Lepisosteus oculatus: one gene and its partners. The protein of the gene in region 3 purifies or fractionates together with the protein of the main gene of each other region. This does not show direct contact. Links are inferred from orthologs where the notes say so. Each region holds a gene or a part of one and is shown on either strand. Other genes may lie near its edges. The genes, in order: adrb2a, NEDD4-like E3 ubiquitin-protein ligase WWP1 and arrestin domain-containing protein 3.

Region 1 (10,330 bases), on a different chromosome or scaffold from region 3:
CGTCTAACAGTGCGCCAACTGGTCCCCCACAGTCGCAGGGAAAGCTGTAAAAGGACAATGTCCGTGCCACATCCCACAGTGGCACTGTGAACATGGGTGCAGCAGTCTCCCACACTGAACAGAACTTACTTCTTTGCCTCCAACAGAGTCCAGGATGACGAGCGGCCCGCGGCTGACCTGCTCCTGATCTTTTCACCCCTCGGTGCGGAAAGGGCAGACGGCCATGCCGCGGTGTGAAACGAGACTCCTAGCGGCCCGCCCGCCCAGCCCATGCCAGGGGTACCAGCCCACAGCATAAACAGACCTGGCACCACAGCCCCGTGCAGCTGCTCCCACTTACAGCACAGCGAGGGGGTTTTCTTATCATCTCTCCCTCCCTCTTTATTTTCCTTACAAAAAAAAGACACAGCAAGCCAGGAAGGTTAACGTCACCGGCCCAGCGCTGAAGAGGTGCCCGGCTAAGCACAGCCTCCTGCTTTTGTTTCTGGAAAGGGTTGAGATGCCACCCGTGTGCCAAGAGCCGATACTTGATATTCCTGGGCTCGGCGTTCTTTAACTGTCTCCGCTCAGTCCTATTTCACTGGATGCTATATTATTCCCACCCGAGGGTCCGGGACCATATATGGTGTGTAAATAATATCCTTACAGTAATACAGCGCTCTTCTGGACCCTCCACTCAAATCACTTTACAGGTAATAGGACTACCCTCCACCACCACCGCCACATGGATGATGTGACGGCAGCCATAGTGCACCAGTACACTCCCCATACACCAGCTCTCAGTGGGGAGGAGAACAGAGTGATGAAGCCAGTTCAGAGATGGGGATTATTAGGAGGCCATGATTGGTAAAGGCCAGGGGGGAACACCCCTTCTCTTTTCATGAAGCATCCTGGGATTTTTAATGACCATGGAGTGTCAGGACCCCAGTTTTACACCACTTCATCAGTTTTACGACCCTACTGGTCCCACTAACACCTCTTCCAGCAGCAACCTTAGCTTTCCCAGGAGGTCTCCCATCCAGGCTCACACCTGCTGAGCTTCAGTGGGCTGCCAGCTGTGAGCTCCAGGGCGAGTTCCAGGGTGCTGGCAGCTATCTCCCTGTGATAAATCACAGTTATCTCCCTGGGGGTGGGAGTTTTAATTGTTACAAAATTGTTAATTATTTTGTCATAGCAGTCTAGCAAGAAAAGGGCAGCTACAGTAGCCCTGGCTCATTTTGTTTCTATCTGAATGTCCTTTAAAATCTTATGTATAGCCTACAGTATAGTATCCCATTTGGGGGATACTGCACTGCCATTTTCATGAATTTAGTATAATACCACAATGTCTAAAACCTGACAGAATTAAGATTAAATCTCTTACATGACATGTTATAGGACTTGCATTTAAATACTAAAAAATAACAACTATAAATAACTACTAAAAAAAAACTACTAAACTACTAAAAAAAAAATAACTACTATTTATAGTACAAAACTATTCACAGTATTTAAGTTCACAAATCAGGTGAATTTCTTTCATTAGTTTCTTCATTGCACTATACAGAATGTCCTGGGATCCTCTGATGCTAAAGATAGCCCCCAGCCTCAGTTGTGCCAGACACATTGGGTTCACAGGCTCTCAGGCTGAGCATACCTTGAATGTAAATGTGTAGATTCAGCTTTCCAGATCCCAAGACTCTGCACTGTATCAGTAGATGCACAAGACTATGGAACAGAATTTCTGCAAGCACATTATGATACAGGTACATTACCAAATACAACAATACTAGTGTAATAAGCAAGGTACTTATATGTATCAAACATATACACTCTTACCTACATGTACGTTGATAGTGCTGTTAGTCCAGTGTAATAGTAAGTGTGCTTACATGGTTGGTAATGTACAGTACCTGGACTATAAAGTGTTTATGGATTTGGGTTGTTTATAGAGTTAAATGAGACTGAGTAGACTTTCTTCAACATTCACCAGGGGGCAGTGCACTTACTTTCCTATGATGATATACTGTTTCAAGCACTTGAGTAAAACTGGTTATGATTTAGTGATATTGATGCAACAAGTTCTCAATTGTTCCAACAAGAGAGCACTTTCTCCGTGGGATCACCCTGCCTGACTCTCTGTTAATTCAGTGTTGAGGAGTTTACAGATAATTATTGCACAGAAGTAAACACAAGCTTTGATTTGTCCCTTATCAGAAAGCTAGGACTGAAAGAACTGTTTTTTTTTTCCTGGTAAAATATTCATTTAAATAGATTTGCGATACCATTTAAAATGATTGCAAAACCGCAGAGAAACAGCTTTTCTGACTTGTGGTTTTGAGCGGAGAGGACACAAGGGCTTATTCTGGAATGTGACTTAGTTATGATAGGTGCTTCTGTTGGGGCACATAAATTGATTCTTAACCTTCTTAACCATGAGGAGACCTCAGAGGTAACCTTATTCACACAATAAAAGAAATAAAGGCCATTCTATATCTGCTGTCTTCAAAAGGAACCCATAATGAAAAGAACAAAGCTTAGATGCTTAAAATGAACACTGGCCACCTTATTAAAAAAAAAAACTCTGATTGCATAGCAAAGTGCATTCATCATTCCAGAGAGACTGAGAGAGACAGATGCAATCTCACTAGTGCAGAGTTTTCCAGCAGAATTCCAACTCCAGGTCTCATTTACTCAATTGAAATTCAACCGTTGCTTTGCTGGGAATATATAAGATTTTTCTCTGCTCTTTTGCTTTTGATGACTTTAACAATGGCCTTGGCTCCTGACGGTTATTGAGGCACACGTGATGGTCAAAGTGCCCCAGCTGACTAAATAACGAGACCAGTTTGGAAACAGGACATTTGACTGGAAAAAACTCTGTTTCTTTTCAAACCCCTGAGCGTCTCATAAGCCTGTCCCTGGATATACTGGCAGCCAGGATTCCCTACACCTGTACAAAGAACACAGGTGGGACTACAGTATATTCTCCCTATTTCCTCTGTGGCCAGACTGATGCTGGGCCGACACATGATGTACACGAATAGTGAAGGCTCTTCAGTCCCCAGTCAGAACTCTTTTTATAGTGCGTGACTGTGAGCTCTCTCTCTCCTGGCTGCAGCCTGGTACTATTAATGTTCGACTGGGAGGCCATTTTAAGCTCTCGGCAAATTTATTGCAAGGTGCACATATAAGCTTTGATGTTTGTGTATCTCTCAGGGAAAAAAAAAAGGTCATGCTTGTGGAGCTTTAAATATGACAGCACCATTTCATAGTGAAGAAGTGTGGACATTTGTGTATGCAGTACGCTAGAAAAACTGCACACCTTTTGTTTCTGGGTTCCAAAAGTCAAAAGCTGACTCAGAAGACAATGCAGGACTTCAAATACAACCCGATCGTGCCAACTTAAAACTGAACTACTGTACAATACGTTGTTGTTCACTATCTCGTATTTATTGTTAACATGTTTTATTTTTACTGGTTGTTTATTGACTGTATATATCATTATTATATACCGTTTTGTAATGTACTGTCTACGTCGTGAGGTGTCTACTGTCGTCTGCTGCACTGTGCACTGTACTGTATGTCCCGGGTGAACGGACAATTAACATGTCCATATGGCAATAAACTCATCTGCTCTGCTTGAAAGGAAATGTACTGTACTGCATGAAACCTTGTTAATTATTTGTCGTGGAATTATACTCAGGTGTGGTAAATCTGAAATATTACGAACAACAATATTAATAAGGCGATTAAAGTAGTCACAAAAAAGAAATCTTTTTTTTGTGCTCTTTGCAAGAAAGACTGCTTTCTTGGCAGTCTCGTGCTATTGATTAAAAAACGTATTCAAATACGTTTCCTAGGAAATGTATCTTCCTCTAGTCAAATAAAAAGGTCCGTGCGAATAACGAGCCATTTATCCTTTTTGAAAAAGTCACTATCGTCGCTTTTCTTCCGTTTCTCCGCGCCTGGTTTCTCTTACACCAGGTGACGGAACCAACGCTTTTTTAAATTCAGAAATGCCGAGCTTCTGGAAAGCTGTGAATTGTTTAAAATGTATTATACTTAAATATTCATGGCAAGGATGAGTGCTGTCAGGCATAAATGAACACAACTCGCTTATACATTCCCTGCACAACACAGAATTTTTCAAAGTTAAACACGCCGTTAAAAAAGATCCTTCCAAACTAAGGAAAATAAATTCGACTTCTTTGCGTTGTTTTGATAAAAAAGCTTAATAAAATGTCTTTAAATAATTTAACTGAAGTGGTAGCTGAAAGACGTGTTCGGATGGATTTTGTTCACAGAAACAAAAGTAAAACAGTGGCAAAATTCACACGAAACGAATATATCTACATGGGTTTTCCAAGACCTGTCAATATTTCAGAAACAGTTCCGAACACCTAAGATACTAACTATACATCACTTGACTTGCGGGCAGACAAGATGCGCGGGAGAAGGATTTTTGAGATCAAGACGGTCTCATTCAACGCTGTGTGCCTGTCTACACGCTGGCAAGTTTAAAGACAAAACTCATTCACAGAGGTTCGGATTAACGAGTACAATACAATACGGGATACAATACCTAAAATATCACCGCAGACTCGCCTGGTTAAAAATAAAGAACAGCTATTCTGAAAGTAATCATAGAATGGGTAGCCAACGGCTTCCAATCAATCAATTAATCCCTAGTTTTGCATAGCACCCTTTTCTGAGCACAATTTAACATCTAAAATCAGATACAAAAAACATTCAAAACAACCTGCAACAAATATGCAGTAACAAACAAGCCAATATACAAAAGCAAACAGAAAAACGGGAAAATAACATTAAAAAACAACGATCCTCTCAGGAATTAGAACCGGGAGATAATTGTCCCTGCAATTTCCCTCACGGGATCAATAAAGTATCTATCTATCTAAATACCACTTTCTCGTGGACAAAAAGCTTTTTCAAAAGTCGCACTGACTTTTAGTCACACTGTGGATTCAAAACAAACACTCCATTTATTAGCCCCTGCAGTTTCAGGTTAGGACTTTCAAATGTTTTTTTGTTCACGAAATGAAAAGCTTATTTTCACATACATACTGTATACAGTACTTTCCTTTGACCTCAGTAGGATTAATCGTCCCATTGACAAGGAAACTTGGGGCAGACTTGATTCTGGGGGGCACAGAAGTTGTTCTTAGCCTTTTGTCACGAGTTTCAACGGTTTAGAAAATTAAGACAGTCACCCCAATCAGTCAGACAGCCAGCACAAACCGAAAGAGAGACACAGAGAGGGAAAGTAAAATCTGTTCTTTTGCATTTGTACTTCTTCCTTCGAGACAAGACCATAACAGACTGATAAGCTATAAGAAGCTGAGCTTTTTGACATATGCAGCACTTTATACTTCCTCTGTTGATTTGGTTCACAGACAGAAAGTGACCAGTCCGATGTTTCACACAACAGCCTTTAGCGCTTTGCCCTCCTCGCCTGCTCATTGGCTGCTGGAAATGATGTCATCGCCCACCCTTACTATAAGGTTCTGTCAATAGCCTGCGAGCACCATCCACAGCCAGGAACCTGCATACTGTATGTGCCAGACTGCAACGCAGCCTCTGAAAGAGTGGGACAGAAATGAGCAGAGGAGAGTGCGACAGGGCTCTTTCGGGAAGTGTCTAAACAGATTTCGGACATCAAAGAGCAAAGGAATAAAGCTGATTGATGTGGGAGAAAAGAAGAAGACAAGAGCACAGCAGGAGAAGGTTAGTAAACTTTCTCCCCCCCTTTAATAACTAAACACCTGTTTTATGTTAAAAAAGCACAAGCAAAAAAAAAAGTGTTTTGTTTTTTATCGGCTGCCCCCCTTGTCTTTCTACCGTTTAAGCGGTCCATTTATTGACCCGTCTGTCGCTGTTGCTGTGGTTGTTTCTCAGACCATGGACCCTCTCAGTAACAGCTCCGCGTCCAACTCGAGCAGCCCTGAGCACAGCGAGGCGTCGCTGGTGGCGTTAGGCATGCTGTTGTCGCTGCTGGTGCTGGGCATCGTGTTTGGGAACATTCTGGTCATCACCGCCATCGCCCGGTTCCAGAGGCTGCAGACCGTCACGAACTGCTTCATCATGTCGCTGGCCTGCGCCGACCTGGTCATGGGCCTGGTGGTGGTGCCCTTCGGGGCGTGCCACATCATCCTGAACACCTGGCACTTCGGCAACTTCTGGTGCGAGTTCTGGACGGCCACGGACGTCCTCTGCGTCACGGCCAGCATCGATACCCTGTGCGTCATCGCCCTGGACCGCTACCTGGCCATCACCTCCCCCTTCCGGTACCAGTCGCTGCTGACTAAGTGCCGGGCCTGGATCGTGGTGGTGGCCGTGTGGCTGGTGGCCGGCCTCATCTCCTACCTGCCCATCCACATGCAGTGGTCGGTCTCCAAAGACCCCGAGGCCCAGAGGTGCCTGAATGACACCCACTGCTGCGACTTCAACACCAACACCGCCTACGCCGTCACCTCCTCCATCGTCTCCTTCTACATCCCCCTGGTGGTCATGGCCTTCGTCTACGGCAGGGTGTTCCAGGAGGCCAAGAAGCAGCTCAAGAAGATCGACAGGTGCGAGGGCCGCTTCTACGTCCAGAGCGGCCTCCCGCAGCAGGAGAGCAGCGGCGAGCCCAAGGGGGGGAAGGCGCCCCCAAAGAGGGCCTTCAAGTTCTGCCTGAAGGAGCACAAGGCCTTGAAGACCCTGGGGATAATCATGGGAATCTTTACTCTCTGCTGGCTGCCCTTCTTTGTGCTCAACGTGGTGGAGGCCATTGGCCAGTTCCAAAACACCAAGCTGACGTTCAAGATTCTTAACTGGATAGGGTATGCCAACTCGGCCTTCAACCCCGTGATCTACTGCAGGAGCCCCGAGTTCCGGCACGCTTTCCAGGAGATCCTGTGCCTGAGGCGGTCGCCTTTCCCCACGCTGGGCCCGCCCAATGGTTATGTTTACAGCGGACACAGCTGGCAGAACGACCCGCAGGCAAAGGGCAGATCGAGCTCGGAGGACAGCGTCACCCCGGAGGGGACGCTGGCCAAATGTCGGGGTCCCCTCTCCGGGACGGACACCAACGGCAACTGCAGCAAAGCTCTAACGACTGTTGTATAACTCGCTGACTCCCCCAGGGGGAAAAGGGGGAGTTTTTTTTTGGGAGGGGGGGGGGACACATTTTATGAATGTGTTTGAATGTACAAGTGGGGAATGCAGGGGGTGAGACTGTGGGCGGGGGTGGTGGGCGCCATTGAGTGGGTTCTGCTAAAACGAAAGGAGCCCACTTGATCACATTCGCTCTCACGGCGGGAGAGTGGGTCTCTGCAACTTTAAATTTCATTTCACCTACCTCATTGTTTTTATTTTTAATTTTTTAACGAACTAGGGACATTACTTCTTTTTTAACGAATGCAAGAGAGCAATGAAGCCAGGCTTACGTTCTTACAACGAAAGAAAACTCCGGATCCTTTCAAGAGCGAAGAAAAAGGAAGGGCTCTTTTTTTATTGAAGGACAAACGTGAAAACGGTACCATAACAGTATTTAATTGACGTCTGCCGACCATGCTAGCAAGCGGTTTTGTAGAGTTCAATATGTTTTGCTCCAACAATGAATTATCTTGGGGGGAGTCGAGGGTAAAAGATTCAGAGTGGTGTCTCGGGCTGTCTAGTCTCAGGATTTGCACAATGTGGAAGTGCAGTCTTAACTTTTAATCACTCACTAAACAGGACGTCAAGGACAGTGCACTCGCGATCGAGTTTAAATCCGCCTTTGACAAAACTGAAGAGAAAACAAAAACAGGAAAAAAGAACTATAACGAAGTATACTCAAATTATTAGCTTGCACAGCATTCATCTCGTCCGCATCTTCAATACATTCCAGTTTCATTTTGTGGAAAATTTAAAGCGAGGCTTAATAAAGCGCGGCGCTGTCGACTCTGCTCCCCAACAGTAACCCAACACTCAGAGGGAAAATAACAGGTGCAAAGCGCCGCTCTTTCCGTTTAGGAGGAAAGGGCTGCAAAACAGTTGAGCAATGCTCTTCGACAGTTACAGCCCCCGACAGCTTTTCTGATTGGTAATACTCTTGAAGGTTAACCCCGTTTTGTCTTGTGGCTGCGGTGTGTTGAGTTTGCCGAGACTCCCATTATGGGGTTCAAAGCTGAATCGAACCCAGTGCAGGGGGGAAGGCAGTCCGGTCTGGAAGTCAGCTAACAAAAAAAAACAACCCAAGGCGAATCCAGGCTGAATTCCAGCTGTAGCCGCTGGTGTAAAGTGTAGATACCAGAGGCGGTATCGAGGTGTAGTGGTGGGGTTTCGGATTCCCATCTAGAAAGTTGTGGTATCAAATCGCAAGGAAAAACACGCGAAGTACTTCACCCAGATCGCAGCAGTGAAATGCTCGGGTGTGTAAACAGAAGTTGGTCTTTGCCGATACAATCGTTAGCCAATTAAGTTAATAAAAGCAGATGAAAGTCACTCTGACCATTCTGTAACTACAGTACAGCCATTACCAGACAGACAGCACTACCGACTGTTTCGACTGCTACTATTAAAAAGCACACTCAAATGTATCGATCTTAAGCTTTTGAGACGTTTTTGCTGTCGTGGCTTCTCGTAGGAAGAGAAATCTTTACTGGAGGCTGAAAAGGTTCCGTCACGACATTTACTGCGAATGAAAAAGGGAAGATGAGTTCCTGCGTATACAGTACAGTATATCCGACTCGCAAAGCACCCGAGTCGAGTATTAACCGCAACGGCTCCAGTCCATTCTTGCCTCTCAGAGACCCACCAGTGCGTCTACACACCTGTCTCTGCTCTGGTCTAGAGGTGTTTTCTGAAATACAGAGATGAAAGCATCCGGGCAGGAAATCAGACCGGGGGCGGTTATAACGCGCGCAGTACGAAAATACATTTAAATAATTTCAGCCTTCTCGAAGCAAACTTCATGCAACAGAAAATGCATTTTGTGATCATTTGCGCCCATTGCATGCACTGAAAGAAAATCGGAATAGCTGTCTCTATTCCCAGTGTGCCTCCTATCACCAGCGTTAGCAATCGGTAAATTCGTGAAAGTGGCTTATTGAAATATACTGTAGGCGGGTATCAAAACTGTGAACTTATCGTAATCACAAGCATCAATATAACTGGCATTCCTCCTATTCACTTACAGTAATTACCGTGTTTTCAGGCTCTAAAGCGTTCTCTTTAGAAATCAAAGCATTGTCGTTCGCCTTTCATCCCCTTTTCATTTGTTGAGTTTGATCATATAAATATCGTTCAGATATTAAGAAGGGGCACTTTCTAATACTGAGATAGTTTCATCGTTCACTGGTACTAAAACAAAAAATAATCGACATATACGGAATAAAAGACATACAATCTGTATGTATATTTTGTGTATATGTAGACCTGTACAGTGTATGTGCACGGAAACATTTTTTCTTTGCGAGATCATTTTAATGTAAAAAAAAAATATTTGTATAAACGTCTGTAAGTGGATATCAAATGAAATCCATACTAGAACGGTTTTTCACAGCCTTCTCATTTTTGATGGTGCATACCAGTTAGAAAACGTGAGATATATTTTTAAAATTTGTTTTAAAACAAATGATTCTACATAGAACTGCTTGAGATGCACTTTTGTAACGTGAAACCAACCGTGTGGAAGAATTTGTATACACCGCCCTCTGCTGGCGACTTACGCATCTGCACACTTTATGTCCTGTCGCAGCACCGTATAGTACGGAAACCCTCATCAGCAGTGCTCGTTATGGGAACGTATCTCTCTCTTTCTGTGTGTGTTGGGGGCTCATCCCTCCAAAACTCAGCCTTATCCCTGCACTGTTCAGGAATCAGTTTTTAATATGTGCAATAGCCTTGCAACGAGCCAGCTGAGCCCCGTGTTCCTTCGAAACCCAAAACGCATCAAGTGACACTAAAAAACCCAGCGCAGACAGAATAGCATCGGCAAGTTTAGGTTGTGGGTCTTTTTCCAGGGACCGCAGGAGACAAGAATGTCAAGTCAAGAATGCATTATTGTTCAGGAAAAGTGGCAGTGACACTATCATCATCATCATCACAATCTTCATGAGAAGTCAGTACTAAAACATAATAACTCATAATGGGATAAGTTCCCATTCCCCTGTATTGAATCAGCATCATGACTCAGTGATGGAGCATAGGGGATTCATGGTATGCCTACAAATAGTCCCGATGTTTTTCAGCCGGGCTGCATGTTACTGCTCATGTTAACTTGCAGCTCTCGCTAAAGTACCGCTGCGGACCCCCCCGCAGACCCTCCCTGGGAGCCTGTGGGCAAAGGGAAAGGAAAGAGACA
Region 2 (9,815 bases), on a different chromosome or scaffold from region 3:
ACCATGGATAAAGAGGAGAACAGATTTGTTTTTTCAGCACCCAGCCAATGAGCGTGCAAGTACAGTACATCACAACAATCCAAATTAGATAGCTTCCTGAGCGCTGCGCTTTAGGTAAGCTAATTTCTTGCTGGTAAGGGTCCAAGCAAGAACCAACAATATGAGACAAAGCTGAACTTCCAAGATTGTCTGCTTTCACAAGGCTTTTTGTTGGCTCCACATAATGTGGCCTAAAATTCAATGTCCTCTTCTTCCAACAGCCATGCCTCACCATGTTCAACCTCCATCCTGACAGCTAACACTCCTGTACCCTTTCTGAACGCAGCAACAGAGACTGGCTAGAAACTGCCATTGAATCAGTACGAAATTAGTGCCAATAAGCAAGTGAGACCAATAACTTTCCACTAAAATGCCAGTGACCAGTTTTACTTACAAATGAACAATACGTTTTTACTGTCACTTTAAAACAGCACCTGTTTAACATATGTGTAGATAAGATGGCCAGTTCTCTAGTTCATTCTGAGAGTGAAGTGGAGATTAAGGAGATTCTTCACTGTAATTTTATTTACTAAGCTGTGATAGGTACAGAATGTACAGAAGGTACAGAATGGAGGTGTCTGCCATCAGTCCCATTTAGTCCCAATTCAGGGGCAGTTACAAACAGCACGCCTCCTTCAGGCTAGAGCCCGATTACAACAAGTGACATCTGCTTACATCTGCTTCCCAGCTCTGTTGAAGCCACCATCCTACCCTGAGCACCACTGCCACACCAGCACAGTGGAAAGTGAAAGGATGTGAGCCAGCGTATATGAATGATTTTGCCCTTCTTCTCAACCTCTCAGAGTTCATTTGTCACATTGCATCAATATTGTAAGTAAATATAAAAATGCATTTTAGCTGAGAGGAACATTCCCACAGCTATTTTTAAAGTCTGCTGCACCACTATCCCTGCATGCCTACCCCCTCCTCTGTCTCAGCAAGACCCATCTCAGTTTCTTCCACACCTTAACCTCATGAGGAGGAGACCATCCACTGTGCAGTACCTCTCAATGGTTAAGAGGCAATCAAACATCAGCACCTAAAAAGATGCTACCTATAAGTCCATCACCATTGCAATCACTGCACAAAATAGTGAGGAACAAGTATTCATACTGTATGGAGGAGTGTGCAGGGATTAATGCTGAATCCTGGACAACATCAATTTCCCTTTCAACAATTCTCTAAAGATTCACTTGTTCCTGGATTTTTCCCCAACTTGTTTGAAGCACAGAAGGTATAATTTAAAGTACACTAGAGTCTAACTTATTAATAAATACATTTCAGGATTAATTATTAGCATATAAGAATTTAGCTAATATTTCAATAAGACTGACATAGAAATGTAGATTGACAACATGTCTAAGGCTTTTGAACAGCAGTGTCACTGTATAATGCGGGATAATACATTATCAAACAAAAGCATGTTAAAAAAATATTCCAAAATATAACATTGAGAGAAATGTTTAAGCCACGTGGTGACAGACAAGTGCCAATGTAAAGTCACTGAGGGTAAACACTGTCTGTGTTTTAATTCCAACTCATCACTTAACAAGCAGAAAACAATCTGACAAAGGCTTTACTTAGCTTTACTTAGCTAAAACTGAAAATCCAGGTGTGAGGTTTTACAGAACAGGGCAACAAATGCACAATATCTACCATACCAACCTACCAAGAAACAAAGTCAAACACTTTACAAGAAACAGTAAGTCTCCTATCCTTTTCTTTAAAACACAAATTCTGTAAATCACGGCTAGCCCTGGAGGCAGCTGTACAAATCAGTGAGGCTCTAATTCCTGTTCCAGAAAAGCCATAGAAAGTCAGCTCTGTAACAGCCGTCCACCTGGTTAGGAGAATCAGTCGAGGCCTGGAATACCCAGCTCATGTGGAGCTGAACAGATAACAGGGGTGCTTCACTTTCATCTACCCATACTGTGCTGAGAGCACATGATTATAGGGAGAGCATGACACTTCAAAACAAGGCTGAATCAACATACCCACTTGTGGCATGAAGACAGACAAAAAGGCCCTGTGAAATCTACTGTGTACCACAATTAGGCCTAGGACTGTGTATTGATGCAAAAGGAGTACTAACACCTTGCAAATACATTTTTTGCAACATTACACATTTACAGTATATAATGCACACGCACCATCCACACCACCAACAGCTGTTTTCAAAGGTAAAATCGTTTGATTAAGATGCGTGATCATTCGATATAAACTGCTTTCCAAAGAACAATTATAGTGCAACTAACTGGACAGTCTTACTGGCATAACTGTAGCCGAATCCCATAGTCGTGGATCTTGTATTTTGTTTTATCCTTCATTTAACCAGATAACTCAAACGATAAATTCTCACTGTTCAATGACAGACCCAAAGAGACCCCATTTAAATGGCAGGGCATTTACTGGAGCAGCTTGAGTAAAGCACCTTTACTACAGAGCACAATCCAATCCAGTCCCACACTTCAACAAAACGTAGGGGCTTTGCACTTCTCAAAATGCCCAAGCTAACTCCAGTACTCACTCCCTTGTGTCAAGTGCTGGTCTTAGAAGTCTTCCCCAGGTCAGCCTTCCCCCCAGTGAGGTACTTCACTCAAGACTGCTCCAGGAAAATACCCAGCATGTACAAATGGGCCCAAATGGATATAAGCATCAGACAAACGGATTAATAATGGGGCAACCCAAAGGTACAAGTACACTATTTCTAATAAAAGGTTCATGGAGACAGAGCAGCAGAGACTGCTCAGACTGGCAGCCCCCCCCCCCAATTACTTCTGCAAAACAAAGCAACTAAATAACACAACACTATCGCAAGGGTCACTGCGTGCTTGACTTGGCAAATTTTTATTGACGTACAAACACGATACAACCAGAGATAACGGTAATTCCTCTAATAAAACCGCCTGTGAACAGGGAGACTACTGAACTTTTCCCCCAGCTCAGCACTGCTCATCTGAAAGCCTGGTCAAACATATTTCAAACTTTGCAGATTATCGCTCTACAGACCCCTCTCAGCTCCCCTGCGCCACAAAACAAAAACATCTGAGAATACTGCGATTTTTATACCACATGCTTGTTGCCTTAATTGATAAATCTGTCTTCATTTTGTGCAGATCATCCTGGCCCACCAGTCTTGACACCAGTGAGGGAAAGCTGAGACGTGCCGATTGTTTATTAAATGTCAAATCCGATTTTTATCACACTAGTAATACTAAAACTCCTATCATTATTATTTTCCCTGCAGACTGAATTATTTGTAATCCGATACACAGCTTAATCTGAAGGACTGGACAACCCGACATTCAATTTGCTTGCGTTTACCAACGGGAACTTCGGCGGTGTTGAAGCAAGCGAAACAGGTCATAAAAGTTCACTTTGAGGAAAACAAAATATTTATACGACACAACTCCAGCCGATGGGTTACCGGGTTTTATCACCGGAGCTATGAACACTATTCATCTGCCAAGTCTCGAAAACGCAATACCATCTTTTTACACATAATAGTAATAATAATCATAATCATCATCATCATCATCATCTTTTTCTCATCGGTGCACAGAATCCAGCCCGGCTAGGGATTATTAACAGCCAGAACAAACACGGGACAGGCCCCCAGCACTCCAGACTTGAGTCCGCCATCTTTTCGTACAGTGCAATACAACACAAACAACTCTGAGCGCACGGACTGCACAACCTCTGTAAGACACACAGAGCCTGAAACGGAGGGGACGAGACAAGACCTGGGATAAGTGACCCATCTGAAGAACATGGTACCACCGTATTTCCAAAACAGCAGCTCGGAGGTTTGGCGGAAACTCTTACCGTGCCCGCTGCTCTTGTGCCCGTCTAATACAGTCTCAACCACTCCACCGCTTCGCCAGGCGAGCAGACCTTTTTGCCATCTCTCAGTCTGTTTCTCCTGCTCTACCCGCAGCGTGCGCGCACACGCAGGACACGCACAGCTCCCGCCTGGCGACGTCACCACGCACAGTTACCATGTTGCTGCGATACCCAGGCGTGAGTAGATGAAGCCCAGTCTGGCGTTGTGAGCGCTAAACTTGCATACGCGGTGTATTCTTCATCATGTACTGTATACCCCCCCCCCCTCTTTAGCCACAGCCAATACATACAACACGTATGAGCAATGTCCAGGTTTTTCAGAGGCATTATCTAAATATCTATATATGTCGTGTTTCTTATACAAACAAAGTGTATAAAATAACAACCCAGGACGGCGATGCACCACTCAAAATATTTTAACTCGTAACTCCGAACGCGTTAACTCCTACATTAAACCATAGTCTGTTACTCCCTTATTCCCGCTCTGCCCTCCATCAATCAACGCGCAGTTTCACTGCTGACGCACACAAATATTACAATATAAACATTAAATTAAATTAATATTAATGAACCGAAACGTAAAATGCTCGAGAATTATATCCATCGCAGACGAGAATTAAAAGTAACATTCCCGTTATTATTAGTAGTAGCATTAAGTCTTGTCTCATGAGTTAGTGCAACTAACCAGGTGACAGTAAACATCAGTGTTTGGGAAGAAATGGAAATCCCTTTAGTTTCTTATGTATTGTTCTCAAAAACTAGGATCGTTTTAAATTGCAATGATGAAAATTAGAATAATTTTAAAATGTATTTTAAAATGTTCTAAACAATCCAATTTGGTATATTGTTCTATTGGTCATTTGACCTCTTACATTTTAACCACAATAATCACAATTGGACTCCACTCAAAGTACCGATTTTACAGATTTGCGGTTAGAAGAATGTGTCTTGAGAAGTAAAAAAATATATTAAAATGATTTGGAAATGATGGTGGAGCATTTCTAAAGTATTTGATGCACTAGATGGAAAGGGGGGCAGTGAAGACACTGTCAGATGAAAGAAAAATACTTATTTTGTTAAGTTATGACAGTTTTTGTACTTTTATTTTGTATCCACAGAATTTGCTACTTAAACATTAAACACGAATTTTAACAGGTAGGCTAATCTGGTAGGCTTATTATCTGTTCAGGGCTGTTATAGCTGAGAGACTAAAATACTAATATATTGACCTCTTCACAGCTAAAATAATGGATATGGATATACAGTAGTTTTCTCTTCTTTAGAAGCTCTCACTTTTAATTAAAATGAGATTTCTGGGTGTCTACACCATTGCATGAATTTATTTGGTTTATATCCCATGTTCAAATATTCATTTAATATGTTTCTCGTCTTCCTAAGTACTTTCCAAAAATAATTTCTTCTTGTGAAGGAATTATTTCTTAACAAGATTTTTTTCTTAATAAGAATACTTTTAGTATCAAATCCTTATTTTTTCATTTGTTCACAAAACTAAAAAGTTCAAGTCAGGAGTGGACAAGTCATCAAATTCCACAGATCAGCAGATTTTTATGAGTCACCCTTAAATCATCTTTTCTATAAACCTCAATGTTGTTTTAACCACTGAGGTACTGTATATGATTGAAATGAAGCTGTTTCAAAAACATTTAAAATGAAAATACCAACACCCTTTCACTCTCTTCAAGTGCACGTAGTTGTTCTTAATGTCATTTAATCAGTCAACTGACTAAAGGGACCAAAGTTCCTTGTGATCCAGTGATTTAAGGGATATACAAGACCCGAGGGACTGTGGCTCTGCAGGACCAATATTAGCCATTTCTCTGGTCTATGATTTGTCCACCCACTAAAAGAGCTGTGGAAATCTCTTAAGCAACATGGACTGCTGGTTCACTTTCTGACAGCCTTGTCCATCTTGGACTTTGCATCCTTTTAAGGAACTGTTGCTTTGTTTGACTATGTCAACTACAGTGTCAAGACAGTTGACTTTAAAACCTTCCAGAAATTGAGAGAGGTTTCCGTCTTCTGAGTTATTTGCATCTGCACATTGTTTTAATTTTAGATCTTTGATATTTTATTAAAATAATTTCTATAATTATAGTGTTATTCATTCCAAAGCAATGCTAAAATGGTTTACATATTGGAGATACCAATTTCATCCAATACTGAAGTTCAGTAGTAGCCTTAATACACAGCAGGTCAGGTAAATAATTGAACTTACAGGGACACCTAGGGAGACCAGATTGTGCAAGCACAGAGTGGAATTTAGCCAGAAAAAGCGGACTAACTAACTCTTACAAACATTGTCATTGGATATTTAATGGCCAATCTGTCATAATGTGGTACCATACAGGGACATTGGTTTTATGCTGTTGTTGTTATGTCATGCTGAGATCCAAGTGAAGGACTACGTTGGAGAAAGCGCTGAGGTTTGAAAGAAGTGAGGCCAGTTGGAAAAGACCACAGAATTGGGGATGCAGATGACAGGCTGACAGGAGCAGGGCTGCTGGGAAACAGGCAGATGGTACGGACTGACAGGAATGGGGCTGCCGGGAAACAGGCAGATAGGTACAGGCTGGCTGAAACAGTACACCACTGGACCAGTGCTGACACTGAAAGACAGTCACTGTGGAAGGGTTTTGTATCAGGATTCATGGTCTTCTAGTTGACAGAAAGGAAGGTGTCTCATAGCAGGTGTAAATAGGCTATGTGGAGGCTATGAAATAGACCAGGCCCTGTATGGTGAATCATAAGGCCCAGATGTGCCCAGGCCTAGAAAAGCTACACCCCTTTTTTAGATGTGTGCTCTTTGCTTTTCAACACAACCTCAGTGCAACACTAAGTACTAAGTACTGTAAATAAAATGTTTTTTATACATAATAATGCATTTTTTCCCCACAGTGACAGAATCCAGCCCAGCTCAGGATAAATAACAGCCTAAACAAACATGGGACAGACATGCAACACTCCACACACGAGTCTTCCATGTTTTTCTACAGTGTAACACTACTACAGTGTAACAGAGTTTGTGATGAACTCGGTTCATTTATTAAAATGAATGTCTCGGGTATTTTATATTATGTTCCATTAAGATAGCTCCAACACGTATTTTTGGATGTACAGCAAAAATTTAAATGGACAGTAAAAGCATTCACAGAATTTGCATCCAGCTTCTCCACACACAATTGAAAGTTTAAAGTTGTCTATAAAATAAAAAGTGGAATAAATGAAAAGGACATTCTAAACACACTATTTGTATTGTATATGTATTATGTCCATCTACAAAATATGTGCTGCATTTTGTATATCCTTGTTCTGAAAGTGTGTTATTAAGTTCACAGTGAAAGACAAATTAAATATATTGATGTCTGTAGGTTAATACACAATTGCTAAGCTATTGGTTGCCTTTCTGTCCTGTTTGTTAATTTAGAAAATGGGGATGTAGTTGTGAATCTTGCTTTTCTGTCTCTGTGCAATGCATTCTGCAATCCACACGATGTTCCTGTGTTCTTGTTCTTTCAACTTCACGTAAGCGTAGAACACCCCAAAGTGGAACTGGTTCAAGAAAGCCAGGGTATTCAACTTTACCTAAAGGAGACAGGAATTAAAAGCACATCATGTGATTGCCTAAAGAAGACAGGCATTAAAAGCACATCACATGGTTAAACAAAGAACTGCAACTTTCTCCACTCTGTCACAATATTACCTCTTAGTTGTTACAACCAGTTACAATGTGCCAGTCTTAACTGAATTTTGCATCTTACCTTCAAAAGCAGGTCTCTATTTGTACACTTTTAAAAGAGCTTTTACAGCTGCTGTTTAATACCGTTTCTATCTGCAAGTCACTCACATTTCACTTTTTCTCTTTTTTATCATCAGTAAAAAAAATTCTCCAGAAAACCACAAAAAATATCACATAGGCTACATCTTTCAAAATGGTCATTTAAACTCACTAAAAGCAGGTTGAAGGTTCTTATTTCTTTTGCAGTATTAGGAAACAGTCTTCTGTAAGAAATCAGTGCTAAAATTAATGGGATAGAAATATATTTAAATCAAATCAAAGAGATTCTGTTTCATTAGACTTTGCATTTACCATAGATCTCATTAGAAATCGAAACATAAGTCATCTGTTTTCTTTAATCGTTGAGCTCCAGATATGTGATCTGAATCATGAATAAGTCCTCAGTGTTGTACCAGATCTCCTGACACAAAGGAGTAGTCATTAAAACTCATGGATCAGAGCTACAGCTCGCAGCACAGAGTCACTGATCATATTCAATCCACTTGGCAATTTTCTAGGCAGCTTCAGCATTTTTGAATTGAAGCCAGATCTCAGGATCATCATAAAGAAAGCCAAGAGACCCAGGGCTGTGGTAAAGCCTTTATTATATTATTAGAGGAGACCATTGGCCATTTTGCCCATCTAGTCCATCTGGTAATTAATAGATAATTGATCCAAGGATCTCTTCTAGTTGCTTATTGAAAGAAACCAGAGTATCAGATTTAACTATATATAATTATATAACTAATATAATTATTAGTGTCCTAATAATTATTAGGTCAGCACTACCCATCAGAGCATTTCCAGGAACGTGGGAAGAAGCAGCTACAGGTATGGAGAACCTAGATGAAGAGCCCTTGTAGTATCTCGTCCTTGTAATAACTTATCTCTACATTGTAGCCAAGGATATGAAAGGTAATGTGTGCACTTTCTATATGCAATCATGTTAACATTTGCAACAGAGAACAGAAAGGCACATTTCATGAAAAATAGTAAGTTAAAGGCTGATGAGGTACCTCTACTTCCAGTGTAATTACAATGAAATTTTGCAGGGCGTAGGTTTTCACCAATTGCAAAAAAGAGGTATTTAGAGGTCAATATTTCAGATTGTGTCATATTTCCTGGCACCACTCTAGTACTGTCACTTTAAGGGAACATTTTACTCACAGAACTACCACAGCTTCCTTCTCTTTGACAACTTGCTAACTTAGCTTAGCTCAGCAGCATTATTTCGCTCAAACCACCATTTCATAAAATAGAATAACTCTCTTTACTGTTAAATCTTAATACATTTGTGTATTTATATACCATGTATTCATGTATTATTTTAATGATGGATTCCTAACTAGATTTCATTGAAGAACATAGGAATGTAATGCATAGTACCATATGTATAAATGGTGTAGCTCATTCCTGTGACTTACTGTCACTAACGGACTATGCTCTTATGATACTTCTTCCCACTTGTGAAGCAACACTGAAACATTCTAGTACTTAATTAGTGCTAGGTTAGTATTTTCTGTGGTTGTTTTACAGTATGCCCCTGTTACAGTACATGCACCCTTGACCAGATGAAACTGTAAATTGCTTTGGATAAAAGCTTCTACCAAATGAAGAGATTTCAACGTAAATATGGACTTACTTCATGCACAAAGAACTTGTCCTCTAGTGTCTTCTCAATAGAACCTGGCTCGGATCCCTCAAAAATCAGTTTATATTCCTGTGTTAATCCAAGTAGAGATAATCTTAAATTAATCAGAGAAAATGGCTATTTTCTGCTACTTTTCCTCTCCTTCCACATCTGTGGTAACTTGTTTTAATGACGTTACTATCATTTCCTTTCCTCAACATGGTCAGCTCATGCTAAATGTTTTGGCAGAACTCTAAAGCTTTGCTGTAACAAAGTGAGAATTAATGGATTTCCTTCAAGGTATGTTGTATCAATAACATATTGATTTTGCGGTTACAAAATTATTCACATGTTTTCATGCTTTGGACTAAATGAAAGTAAATATTCATTATGAGCCACTTGGATCATTTATCTTAAAACATTTTCAAAATTTTTGCTGACTCCTACAGATTGCAAGAATGCAAAAATGCTCTTGTATGTAATATTAAGGTATTTTGTAAGATTGTA
Region 3 (10,295 bases):
GTAGCGCACGCTGCCGTGCTTGCCCTCAAAGGAGGTAGCCAGAGGTCTGCGGGGGAAAGCAGGAGGCCGAGATTCAACATTCCTGCACGGGCGAGACCACACCTGGACAGACGAAACACCGCGTGCACAGTTCCTGCCTCCTCTCTACTGCTACTCCGCCATCTGCTCAGAGAAAAGCAACCTGGGACTTCTGGGCCTTAAGGGCCACATCCCACATTGACAGGCCAGAGGGAACGGAGTCTCTTTAGTCTGAGGGCAGTGTTCCACATTGACAGGCCAGAGGGAACCGAGTCTCTTTAGTCCGAAGGGAGTGTCCCACACTGACAGGCCAGAGGGAACCGAGTCTCTTTAGTCCGAAGGGAGTGTCCCACACTGACAGGCCAGAGGGAACCGAGTCTCTTTAGTCCGAAGGGAGTGTCCCACACTGACAGGCCGGAGGAACTGAGTCTCTTTAGTCTGAAGGGAGTGTCCAAAACTGACAGGCCGGAGGAACTGAGTCTCTTTAGTCTGAAGGGAGTGTCCAAAACTGACAGGCCGGAGGAACTGAGTCTCTTTAGTCTGAAGGGAGTGTCCAAAACTGACAGGCCGGAGGAACTGAGTCTCTTTAGTCTGAAGGATTCTTTCAGGAAACAGATGGATGAGACCCCTGGACTGATTAAACAGTTAACCACATTGCTCTCATAGGCCACATGACCTCCTCTCATCTGAAACGGTTTTATATTCTTACTGGGAAGTTTCAGAGTTGCATTAGGTGGCTAACTTTGTTTTTATTTTATTCCAGAAGACAAAGACTGACAGCTTCAAAATCTATGAAGTCTGGGAGAGCAAATAAACATCTTTCAAGTAGACTCACGTTTGTGGAAGCTCAAGGCTGAATGCATACTCGTGTCTTCCTGAATGGATAGTGGTGAGACTTTCTTCAGAGTTGTCCTCATCTGAAACAAAGGAAAACAAAATTCCAAATACACGTATACCATACCTGTGAAACAGATATGAGGGTCGCTGTATGGAAATTAAAAAAAAATAAAAAACAGTTCAAAACACATTTCTAGGTAAGGAAAAATACCAGAATTGAAACATTTTAAAACATCACTGCAAAAAAACAGAAACAAAAGACGGATAAAAATTACACAGGTCACAATTAATTCTGGAAACCGGATATGTTAAACATTTATAAATGTAGATAAAAAAAACAGGAAGTCAAGTCTCATAAAAAAGGTTCGATGTGTATTTGCATTGAAACCAGTTTCCTAGAACAAAGGTAATGAATCTCTATTAGTCTCCAATAAACACCCTCATAGGCAGAGCAGCTCCACTCCCGCGCCCATGAGCATGAAGAAAAGGCGATAGGGGGCTAGTCATGGCAAACAAATTCCCCCTTATTCTCCTCCTGAAAAACATCAGCATTCCCTCTCCCCGTCAGTGCTCACACACCACTTTCAAACGACCCCCCAACACACACTCCTGAGGCGCTACAAAGGACCCATCGCAGTGCTCTCCCCACCAGAGCGCCCGCTCATTCGGACACGGCCTGGGAAAGAGGTGGGGGGGTTGTGGCATTTGTAACAAACTCCCTTCCTTGAAGGAGACCCACTGCCCTTCTTCCATTTCAGAGGATTGCGCGAAAACAAGAGACAGACTAGTTTTTGCTTTCGTCTCATTTTTGCGTTTGGCACAGTTTGACAACTCCCAACAATTGCTTTATCGGGTTTTTTTTTTAAATTGCGTTTTAAAACGCACGCATGCACAGCTTGTGAGAGACACACACACACACACCGGGCGCCTCTCCCCCAAAGTTACAATTCTGCCAGCTCAGCGCCAGCGCTCTGCCCCTGCCTCAGCAGCAGCAGCTCGGTCCTGGTAAACAAGTGCTGAGCTGTCAATCACAGACAGACTCGAGCAGGAGAGGACCGGCCTAAACCGGCGCGAGCAGCTCCCCCGCACGCACGCACTGCAGAAACCGAAGCTGCTCGCTCCCTCGCGGCGCCCCCTGCCGAGCCGCCCCGCGCACTGCAGCCGCCCCAGCGCCCGGCCGGCCTCCGTAACAGACCCCTCCAGGTGAGAAAATCAAGAGACCTCCCCCCCCCCACACACACACCACACCACAGAGAAAATGCACAATAGCAAATAAAGACGCAGGAGGCGGAACAAGTTAGAATTCATCTCGCTTTTATTTTGTTAGCGGCGGGTTTGTTTGTTTTTTTTACACAAGGGGGGGGGAGACAGCTTTTTTCTTCCCCTAAAGCAGCAGAAAGGTATAAATATACAAAAAAACAACCAACCAAGGTTCACATTGAGATCATACAGATGAGATACATGCCAGGAAGGGGCACCACTGCGGTGCTGCTCCCACAACATAAGCGTTTCGCGTCTTACATCAGTGTACAAAACACACAATAAGTACAGTCACATCCCAAAAGAAAGAGCTGGAACAGGCTTGTCCGGTGCCTGTCCTCCGGACTGAAGCGCATTACAGTTTAGAAAAGGGTGAGAAAAGCGACCAGACCCGGCTGTAGAAGAGTCTGGTCGGAACAAGCATGGAAATCACGTGTCAGTCCGCCGCGCAGCTGATAACTTCTAGTCCAATCAGGCTCCAGCACTGCCTTGGCAACAGGACTAACAAACCCGGCTCGGCCAATGGGCGCCCGGCGGGGGCGGGGCCAGCCCAGCCGGCCCGAGCGCACCAACCCCAAGTGTCCAAACCTGCCGAAAACTTTCTGAGCTTTCTGCGCACCGCGACGGCGGTGTAAACACAGCAAAATAAATAAAATAAACATACAAAAATCAAAGTGTGTACGCGCGGCGGTTCGCCAACCGCTACAGCTGCCCTTCCAGAGGAAATAGCCAAAGTGTCGTGTGTTTAATTTGTGTGTTTTAGAAATGGAGACGGCGCTTAAGGGAGTTTAGTTTTTGTCGCCCATGCCGCTGCGGATTAAAACGACACAGACCACCGGACCGCCAGGAGCCTGGCTCCAACTCCGGGGGTCTGCGTGCTCGCAAGTTCCCAGAAACTGCGATTCAACGACTGGCACTGCCTGCGCCCCTTAAACTGCCGATGGGGAAATCTCCGTCCCCCGGCCCCCCTTCCGCCTCCGGCATACAAGAGAGCGCAAACCGGGGGTCGACTCCTGGGGCAGCCGTGGAGGAACCGGGGGTTGGGGAATGGGAGCTGAACCCAGACGTGCGCCAGGAAAAGACAGGTGGGGATGCGCTCGCTCAGCCCTGCAAAGGCATGAGGTCATCGCCGCACACGTGACCGCGCCCAGCCAATCGGGGGGCGAGAACGGCAGAGCCCGCTGCCCCCCCCCTCCTCCCCAGCAACCAGTTTCTGAACAGGATTGAACCGCTTTTAACAAAGGGTGGAAACTTAAGGAAATCATCTTTTTTGGGGGAAAAAAAGCCAAATGTAACAAAGATTTAAAACCCAAAGAGCCCGGGCATAACCCCGGGTTCCCGCATACGTCCAAGGACGCGGCGCCGTGAGCCGTTTCTAATTTCTTTTTACCAAATTTCACGTTTACCGCATTGACTCCTGCTGTCCCGAGAGTCGACACGAGTTCTGGTCTAAAATGAACTACTTTTAAAAAAAAAAAATCTATATATACACACACAGTACATTAAAAAAAAACAACGACAAGTAAGCAGTTAATTGTCTTTCGTGGTGTGTGAAGTACTCGCAACCTCTCACTGTCCGAAAGATGAACGGGCATCTTCTTCCAACTACACATCCCAGCCTGAAATTCCTTCAGATATTTCCTGTCAGTATTAACAGCGACTGCATTTTAAAAACCGGACCCCGACTGGCAAAACTACCTAGTGTATTCAGAGCTCCGTGGAGGCGATTCGGTTTCTCTTTTCACTCACACTGCCTTGCCTGACCTAACCTGCAGCCCACTCGAGAAGTTCGCTAACCCACTCGAGAGGTCCAGGACCTCCAACGCTCACTTGAGGGAGAGGGGAGACGCTCATTTTACACACAATATTCGACGAAGGAGGACGTGCAAATCGATCTTGCACTCCTGGGGCCGGAATGAATGAACTACTGGGATATGGGGGGCATTCAGCCGAGCGTCTCTCTCTAGCCAAGGGCAGAATTTCGGTGCAACTACCATGACAGCCCCGGGATCACGGTCTTCAGAGGACAGGGCAGCTCACGGAAACGTGACATTTCCACCCCCCAGAGTCCTTAAAAAGAAAAGGCAGAAGCGGCGCGTTCCCCCTTACCTCTCTCGTGTCCGATCAGGATGTCCCTGTGGTTCAAGTACTCCACTTCCTCGGTGTAGTTCTGCGTGTACGCCGTGTTGGACCCGGCGTTCCTCGACTCGGTCCAGCGAACTTTTGCAAATCCTTTCGCGTGGATTTTCAGGGACTTGACCCGGATCTCCCCGGTGACTTCAATGACGACTCTCCCCGAGACCGAGTCCCCGCTGGAGAACACGGCCACGGCGCTGTCATTCAGGCAGTCGTAGCTGACTGTGAAACTCTTCACCTTGCCTAGCACCATGGTTTCGGGTTTTTTTTTTTGTTTTGTTTTTTTTGTTAAGAACACATAAAAAAAATAAGGTCTGAGCAGACAGCCACGACCAAATTAAAAAAAAAAGTGATCGTAGCAAAGCACGCACACACACACACAAACAAACAAACACACTGATCGACGCCTTTGCCGTGCAAGAGCTGCAGGCAGGATCAGTGCTTCCCTCGCCAGCCGTTCATTGAGATGCTGGTAGGCTAAATAACAGCACTCGATGCTGTTATCGCGCACCTCCTCCTCTCCGTGGTCTCTGTACAAAGACGAGCTGCTGCTCCGGTTCCCCTCACTTAAAAGCGAGGATTTGGTGAAAAACAACCCCACCGCGCATGCGCCGCGCTCCCCCTCCCATCCCTCCTTCCCAGCTCCTTCCGCCTCCCGCGAGCGAGGGGGCGTGGCTCCGCTGACACCTGGCCCCGCGCCAGCTGACTGGAACAGCTGATCGCGAGCCGCCCGGCCAGCCCGCGTGCGCGCCCCGCGCCGGCGGCTCGCGCCTGGCCGAGCCCTGGTTTTTAGACATGCAACACCCGGTTAAACACACAAACAAACAAACAAACAACAGCAACACCGCGATCAGCCCTTTCGCAGAGCTGCCTGTCTGTTTAGCTGTGTGGCGTGAACGCTGCGAGTTCGCAGCGGAGCGGCGATGCGTGACCTATTGCAGCATTGTTTGGATGCACAGTTTGGAGCAAACTAATGGAGTTTAAAACATCAGATCGTTTTTTTTTCTTAAGCGTATTAAATCGTCCGCTCCACATAAATACAACATCTCTGACTTTCATACTTTTTAAATCCACTGCAGCTTTCTCCCGATCAGCAGTTTCTGCCGCCGCACTGTGAGGGAAAACTACACGGCGCTGCTCGCCGGTTCGTCAGGAAGCAGCAGCAGGGAAAGCGCTATGCAGCGCCACCTTGTGGCAAATAAAAGTGCGCAAAGCACTTGTGCCTGTTGTGTACCTGTTGCACGCAAAGCTGTTATAGAAACGTTCACAGAGCTGCAGTGTTGAGCAGTTGCATCACAGATGACGGTTTTTAGTTACTGTAGTTAGTGTTTGATTGCGAAGCCTAAGTATTGTAATGCCATTTTGTTGTTAAAATCAATTTGGTACATTTCGAAGCAGTGGATACTAGCCTGTCTCAGGTCTAACAATATTTCGGAACAGATACTGGTTCGGTTCTTGCTGAAAGGGAAAGCAAAACGAAGGAACACGGCTAAAACGTTGTGCTTCTTTTCTTTAGCTTTCAGCAGGGAACAGACCTTTACCTGTGTCCCTTTGCAGCCTACGCATGGTGACGCAGCCACGTTCTCAAAAGAATAGTTGTTTTTCCCCTTTTATGCTCCACAGACAGGATCCACGTCCCCCAGCAGTGAAGTGCAGCGCCACCTAGTGTTGGATGCAAGCGGAGAAAGGACATCGCCAGGTGAATTAATGAGAATTTCAAGGAGGGCACATAGTACAAACCCGGAGTCGGAATTTAGCTCTGCTCCTACAGACAAGGACAAGTTCACGGACAAGGGGTCTTTAGCGAGCAAATAGGACCTTCGTCTAACGCCTCCTGTGAAGGAGAACACCTACACGTGGCACACTGTCCTGGGGATTTTACTCGTTTGCAGAGCTGGATTAAGAAAGAACCTTGTAGATGCTGGGCACTTCTCTTTCACAGTCCCTGGATTAGGTGGAGGAGTATTTATAGGAGTTCTGATGTCTCAGATTAGATACGTGATCAAAATTATGTTGAATGATTTGTTTCAGATGGCCCATCGTCGCTGTGTATGGGATATATTCAAAAATATCTATGTTACAGTTTATATTATAGAAATATCTTAAAATGTGGACATCGATTTTATCCTAGGCTCGTTATCGTTATATTTCATATCGTGATCGTTAAATTATCATAGGCCCTATGCACAGTGCATGCTAGGTAATATGGCGCTGCTAGTTGGTCCATTAGCTCTGCGATGCATATCTGAGTCTTGTTATAACAATTTATTTCAAAATGCTTGTACTTGTTCTAGTAGGTCTTCTATGGAATTCTTCGGGATACGGCTTTGTTGAATGGGTTCTGTTAAATCACACCGGTAAACCAGCAGAAGGAAACTCAGTGTGGGTCAGTGTAGTTTGCTACGGTGAGAGTACGACATCTAGTGTTCATCTGGGGTCATAATTCCATTCCGAGTAAATACTTCAAAAGAGTACTCATTCTTAGCGATAAAGTATCGCGTTGAATACCTTATGTTTCAAACATATAATCTCAAAGTTTGGCTTTATCTTTATTGAATCTCATACATTATGGAGAAAATTTTATGGGTTTAATTTGATATATTTGCAGAGCTGTAGATCAGGTTACAGGCAGCAAAAACACAGATGATCAGAAGGGGGTTTTCTGGTGAATTACTCCGGTGAATTATAATAAAGGATAACATTGTGCGCACAGAAACACAGAATATCAAAACCAGAGGAAACCAAGGAAGATAGGAAAGAAACAGTGAGAAAAAAACATCTCCCTTCTCTTCCTTGAAGCCTGTCTCATGTGAGAGGACCTTGTCCTGGCCAGCCTTGGAGACCGAGTCCTGTAATGTGAACCTTGTTTTAATGAGACTGCTGTCCCATTTATTTAAAATGATTCTAGCTGTCCTGTAGCCTGTAGCAGGCAGCTATATCACCCTGCTACTCACAACTGGCCGCCCATGTGCGTCAAATTATACCTGCTGCTCGAGTTTATTCATTTTCATCATTTTAATTTCCACTTTGTGAGAAAGTCCAGAAACCCCTGCTATGGAGGTGCAGTCCTTGGTGTGATAAAGTACAGACCTTTATCACACCAAGGATTCTATTGAGGCTTTTATAAGAGTTCCTGCGCGTTTAATATTGAAGCATCATTACTGCTGAGCCATCATTAATTGTTTTAGTGCAGACGAAGGTCCCTCTCTCTCATGAGATAGGATTGAGTTAGAAATGCATTCGGCTCATTCCAGCTCACCCCAGACAATAATAAAGTATAAACATTCTGCACACAGATACACAGTGTAAGAAAACAGGTGGGAACTGAAGGAAAACAAAATCCCATCTCCTCTTCCTTAACACCTCCAGCTTGCCCTGGTCCTGTAATTGAATGGTTTGTCCATCCCCAGTTGGCCAAGTGTGCAAGACATTGTCCAGGGGCATCTGTGGGTTTGACTTTGTTCGGACTGTCTCTCTCGCTGCAGCCATGTCGTGTCATATTTTTCTTCAATGTTGTACTTCTGGAACAAGTCTGAGAAACTAAGAAAAGTGTAATTTTCCAAAAATGAAAATAAAGATGTCTTGAATGGCAGGGCTGTGTGCTAGTGGGGTTCACCTCGGGATCACTGGGGGTTCCCCCTTTAGCATCTAACTGTGAGGACACCCCAAAGGCTCTGACACGCAGTGTCTTCGTGCCTCTTTTAACAGCAACGTGATTAAAACAACAGCAACTGAAAACCTGTTAGATTACTTGTTGACTAGAAACGCAATTTATATTTGTGGTCCTTTATATACGTTTGCCTTTCACCAGGGTTCAGAATGCAGTGCACGAAGATGAGTCAAAGTGTATGCTTTCATTATTCAAATAGAAACTGGGTAAAACAAACTACTACAGTAATAATACTAATTATAATAATTGCTTACACTTATATAGCGCTTTTCTGGACACTCCACTCAAAGCGCTTTACAGGTAATGGGGATCCCCTCCACCACCACCAGTGTGCAGCCCCACCTGGATGATGTGACGGCAGCCATAGTGCGCCAGAAGGCTCACCACACATCAGATATCAGTGGGGAGGAGAGCAGAGTAATGTAACCAATTCATAGAGGGGGATTATTAGGAGGCCATGATTGGTAAGGGCCAATGGGAAATTTTGCCAGGACACCGGGGTTACACCCCTACTCTTTTCGAGAAACACCCTGGGATTTTAAAGACCACAGAGAGTCAGGACCTCAGTTTTACATCTCATCCGAAGGACGGCACCTGTTTACAGTATAGTGTCCCCATCACTATACTGGGGCATTAGGACCCACATGGACCACAGGGTGAGGGCCCCCTGCTGCCCCCACTAACACCTCTTCCAGGGCAACAGTAACGTGTAAGTAAGAGAATACGGCCTTTCCACTCAGACTGGATGCCACCCTGGTCTCTCTTGTGGAGCAGCAAAGTGTCTGAGGGAGGGCCAGACCTCTCAGCCCTGTGTCCTTTGTGTCTGCTGCCCTCCTGAGTCTTCTGTGTTCTCTGTTCCTTGGCTGATTCTCCTCGAGACGCAGGAGCTCGCTCTCTGTGGGCAACGTGCACACCTATCCCACAAGGCTGCAGCGAGAGAGGGAAGGCTTACTGTGCCCCTGGAATCCTGCAAGCTCAACACAGAGTAGGGAGGAGATCCCAAAGCAGAAATCGAGGCCAGCTAGACGAGTGTTTGGTAGCTGGTATGTTAGGGGCTGTGGGCAGGGCTCTGTGGAAGACAGACATCCTCTGTGTGAATGTAAATCCCTTTGGGGAAAAATACAATGTCAGCTGAACAACAACAATAAGAAGTATGTAAGACAGTGGTAAAGGAACAGGTCTAGAAGGATGCTGAATAATTGCTAAATAGAAGTATAAGAAGATAATGGCTTTATATAAAATTATTTATGAAAATTATTATAGTAACAGATCTCTAATGGCCAGTGATCATTACATAACTGTGAATTGTTTGCTATAAAGAAGACATAATACTTTCTTTTAGTATACTTTTAATGGTTCTGGCATACTTTCTCGAGGTGTACCGCTGGTAAATAATAACTATAATGTCCCTATCAGTATACTGGGGCATTAAGACCCACACAGACCACAGGGTGAGCACCCCCTGCTGGCCCCACTAACACCTCTTCCAGCAGCAGCCTTAGTTTTTCCCAGGAGTCTCTCATCCAGGTACTGACCAGGCTCACACCTGCTGAGCTCCAGTGGGCTTCCAGCTGGGAGTGACAGGGTGACATAGCTGCTGGCATTTAGGTGCTGATTAAATATTTCACATAAATCATCAAAAGATTGTCAGTGAACGTTTTAATGATAAGCAAGTATCACCTTGAAAAAAAGCACAATTCCTGAACTCTTTGTATTTGATTTTTAAACCCCTAGTAAAGTAAATTACATATTTTACTTTATTTCTGAAGTCTGTATCTTTGATTAAATCCATTAAGCACCAGAATGCTGTATAACTACCCCAAGTTAATTAGATACCTTGGAGTGCATTAGTGTCAAAAAACCTCATTGTTACGAGTGAGTAGGAAGCTGAGAAGAAAAGGGTCAGGTAAATGATGAAGATTTACCAATCTAGTGCTCACAGGATTTCTTGTTTGCACAAAAAAGTGAGTTTGTAATGAGAGGGCATTATGTAAAAACACCTGGAAACAATACCAAATCCATAATCCGGCTACCTGCCTGCGCCATCAACAAGTTGTTTTACCTGCTGATAGACACATTAGCTTTCAAACAGCCGTCAGCGAACACTTTAACTAAGTGTACAATGTTCAAACTGGTCTTCAAAACTTTTAAACTTGTTTTCCAAGTGTCTCTATGTTGAATTCTATGCTCGTCTAAAACGTCCACATAAATCATTTAAATTCCGTTTTCTGTGGTGTAAGAAAGAGGAAATCAGAGCCGGGATTATGAAATTGAAATTTTGGATTATGCAACGTCCTTGGTGGTGAACTTGTTACATTTGTTCATTGAGCCTCATTTTAGATTCATAAAACAACACAGAATCTAAAACAAGCCA

The links.
Region 1: the proteins of arrestin domain-containing protein 3 (region 3) and adrb2a purify together in Homo sapiens (affinity purification with western blotting; 6 studies listed by BioGRID and IntAct, with this or other methods). This does not show direct contact. The link is inferred for Lepisosteus oculatus from reciprocal best matches to the Homo sapiens genes ARRDC3 and ADRB2.
Region 2: the proteins of arrestin domain-containing protein 3 (region 3) and NEDD4-like E3 ubiquitin-protein ligase WWP1 purify together in Homo sapiens (affinity purification with mass spectrometry; 4 studies listed by BioGRID and IntAct, counting the BioPlex papers as one, with this or other methods). This does not show direct contact. The link is inferred for Lepisosteus oculatus from reciprocal best matches to the Homo sapiens genes ARRDC3 and WWP1.

Annotation. Positions count from the first base shown.
Region 1 is NC_090706.1:28,678,279-28,688,608, forward strand, and holds the start of adrb2a (adrenoceptor beta 2, surface a), read left to right. Parts: upstream 1-5,541; 5' UTR 5,542-5,556; coding exon 5,557-5,727; intron 5,728-5,898; coding exon 5,899-7,110; 3' UTR 7,111-10,330. UniProt on the Homo sapiens protein: Beta-adrenergic receptors mediate the catecholamine-induced activation of adenylate cyclase through the action of G proteins. The beta-2-adrenergic receptor binds epinephrine with an approximately 30-fold greater affinity than it does norepinephrine.
Region 2 is NC_090701.1:25,938,973-25,948,787, forward strand, and holds the start of NEDD4-like E3 ubiquitin-protein ligase WWP1, read right to left. Parts: upstream 3,996-9,815; 5' UTR 3,865-3,995; intron 1-3,864. Other genes in the region: V-type proton ATPase subunit d 2, read right to left, coding at 7,324-7,485, 9,321-9,398. UniProt on the Homo sapiens protein: E3 ubiquitin-protein ligase which accepts ubiquitin from an E2 ubiquitin-conjugating enzyme in the form of a thioester and then directly transfers the ubiquitin to targeted substrates.
Region 3 is NC_090698.1:72,934,679-72,944,973, forward strand, and holds the start of arrestin domain-containing protein 3, read right to left. Parts: upstream 4,808-10,295; 5' UTR 4,505-4,807; coding exon 4,225-4,504; intron 936-4,224; coding exon 854-935; intron 47-853; coding exon 1-46. UniProt on the Homo sapiens protein: Adapter protein that plays a role in regulating cell-surface expression of adrenergic receptors and probably also other G protein-coupled receptors.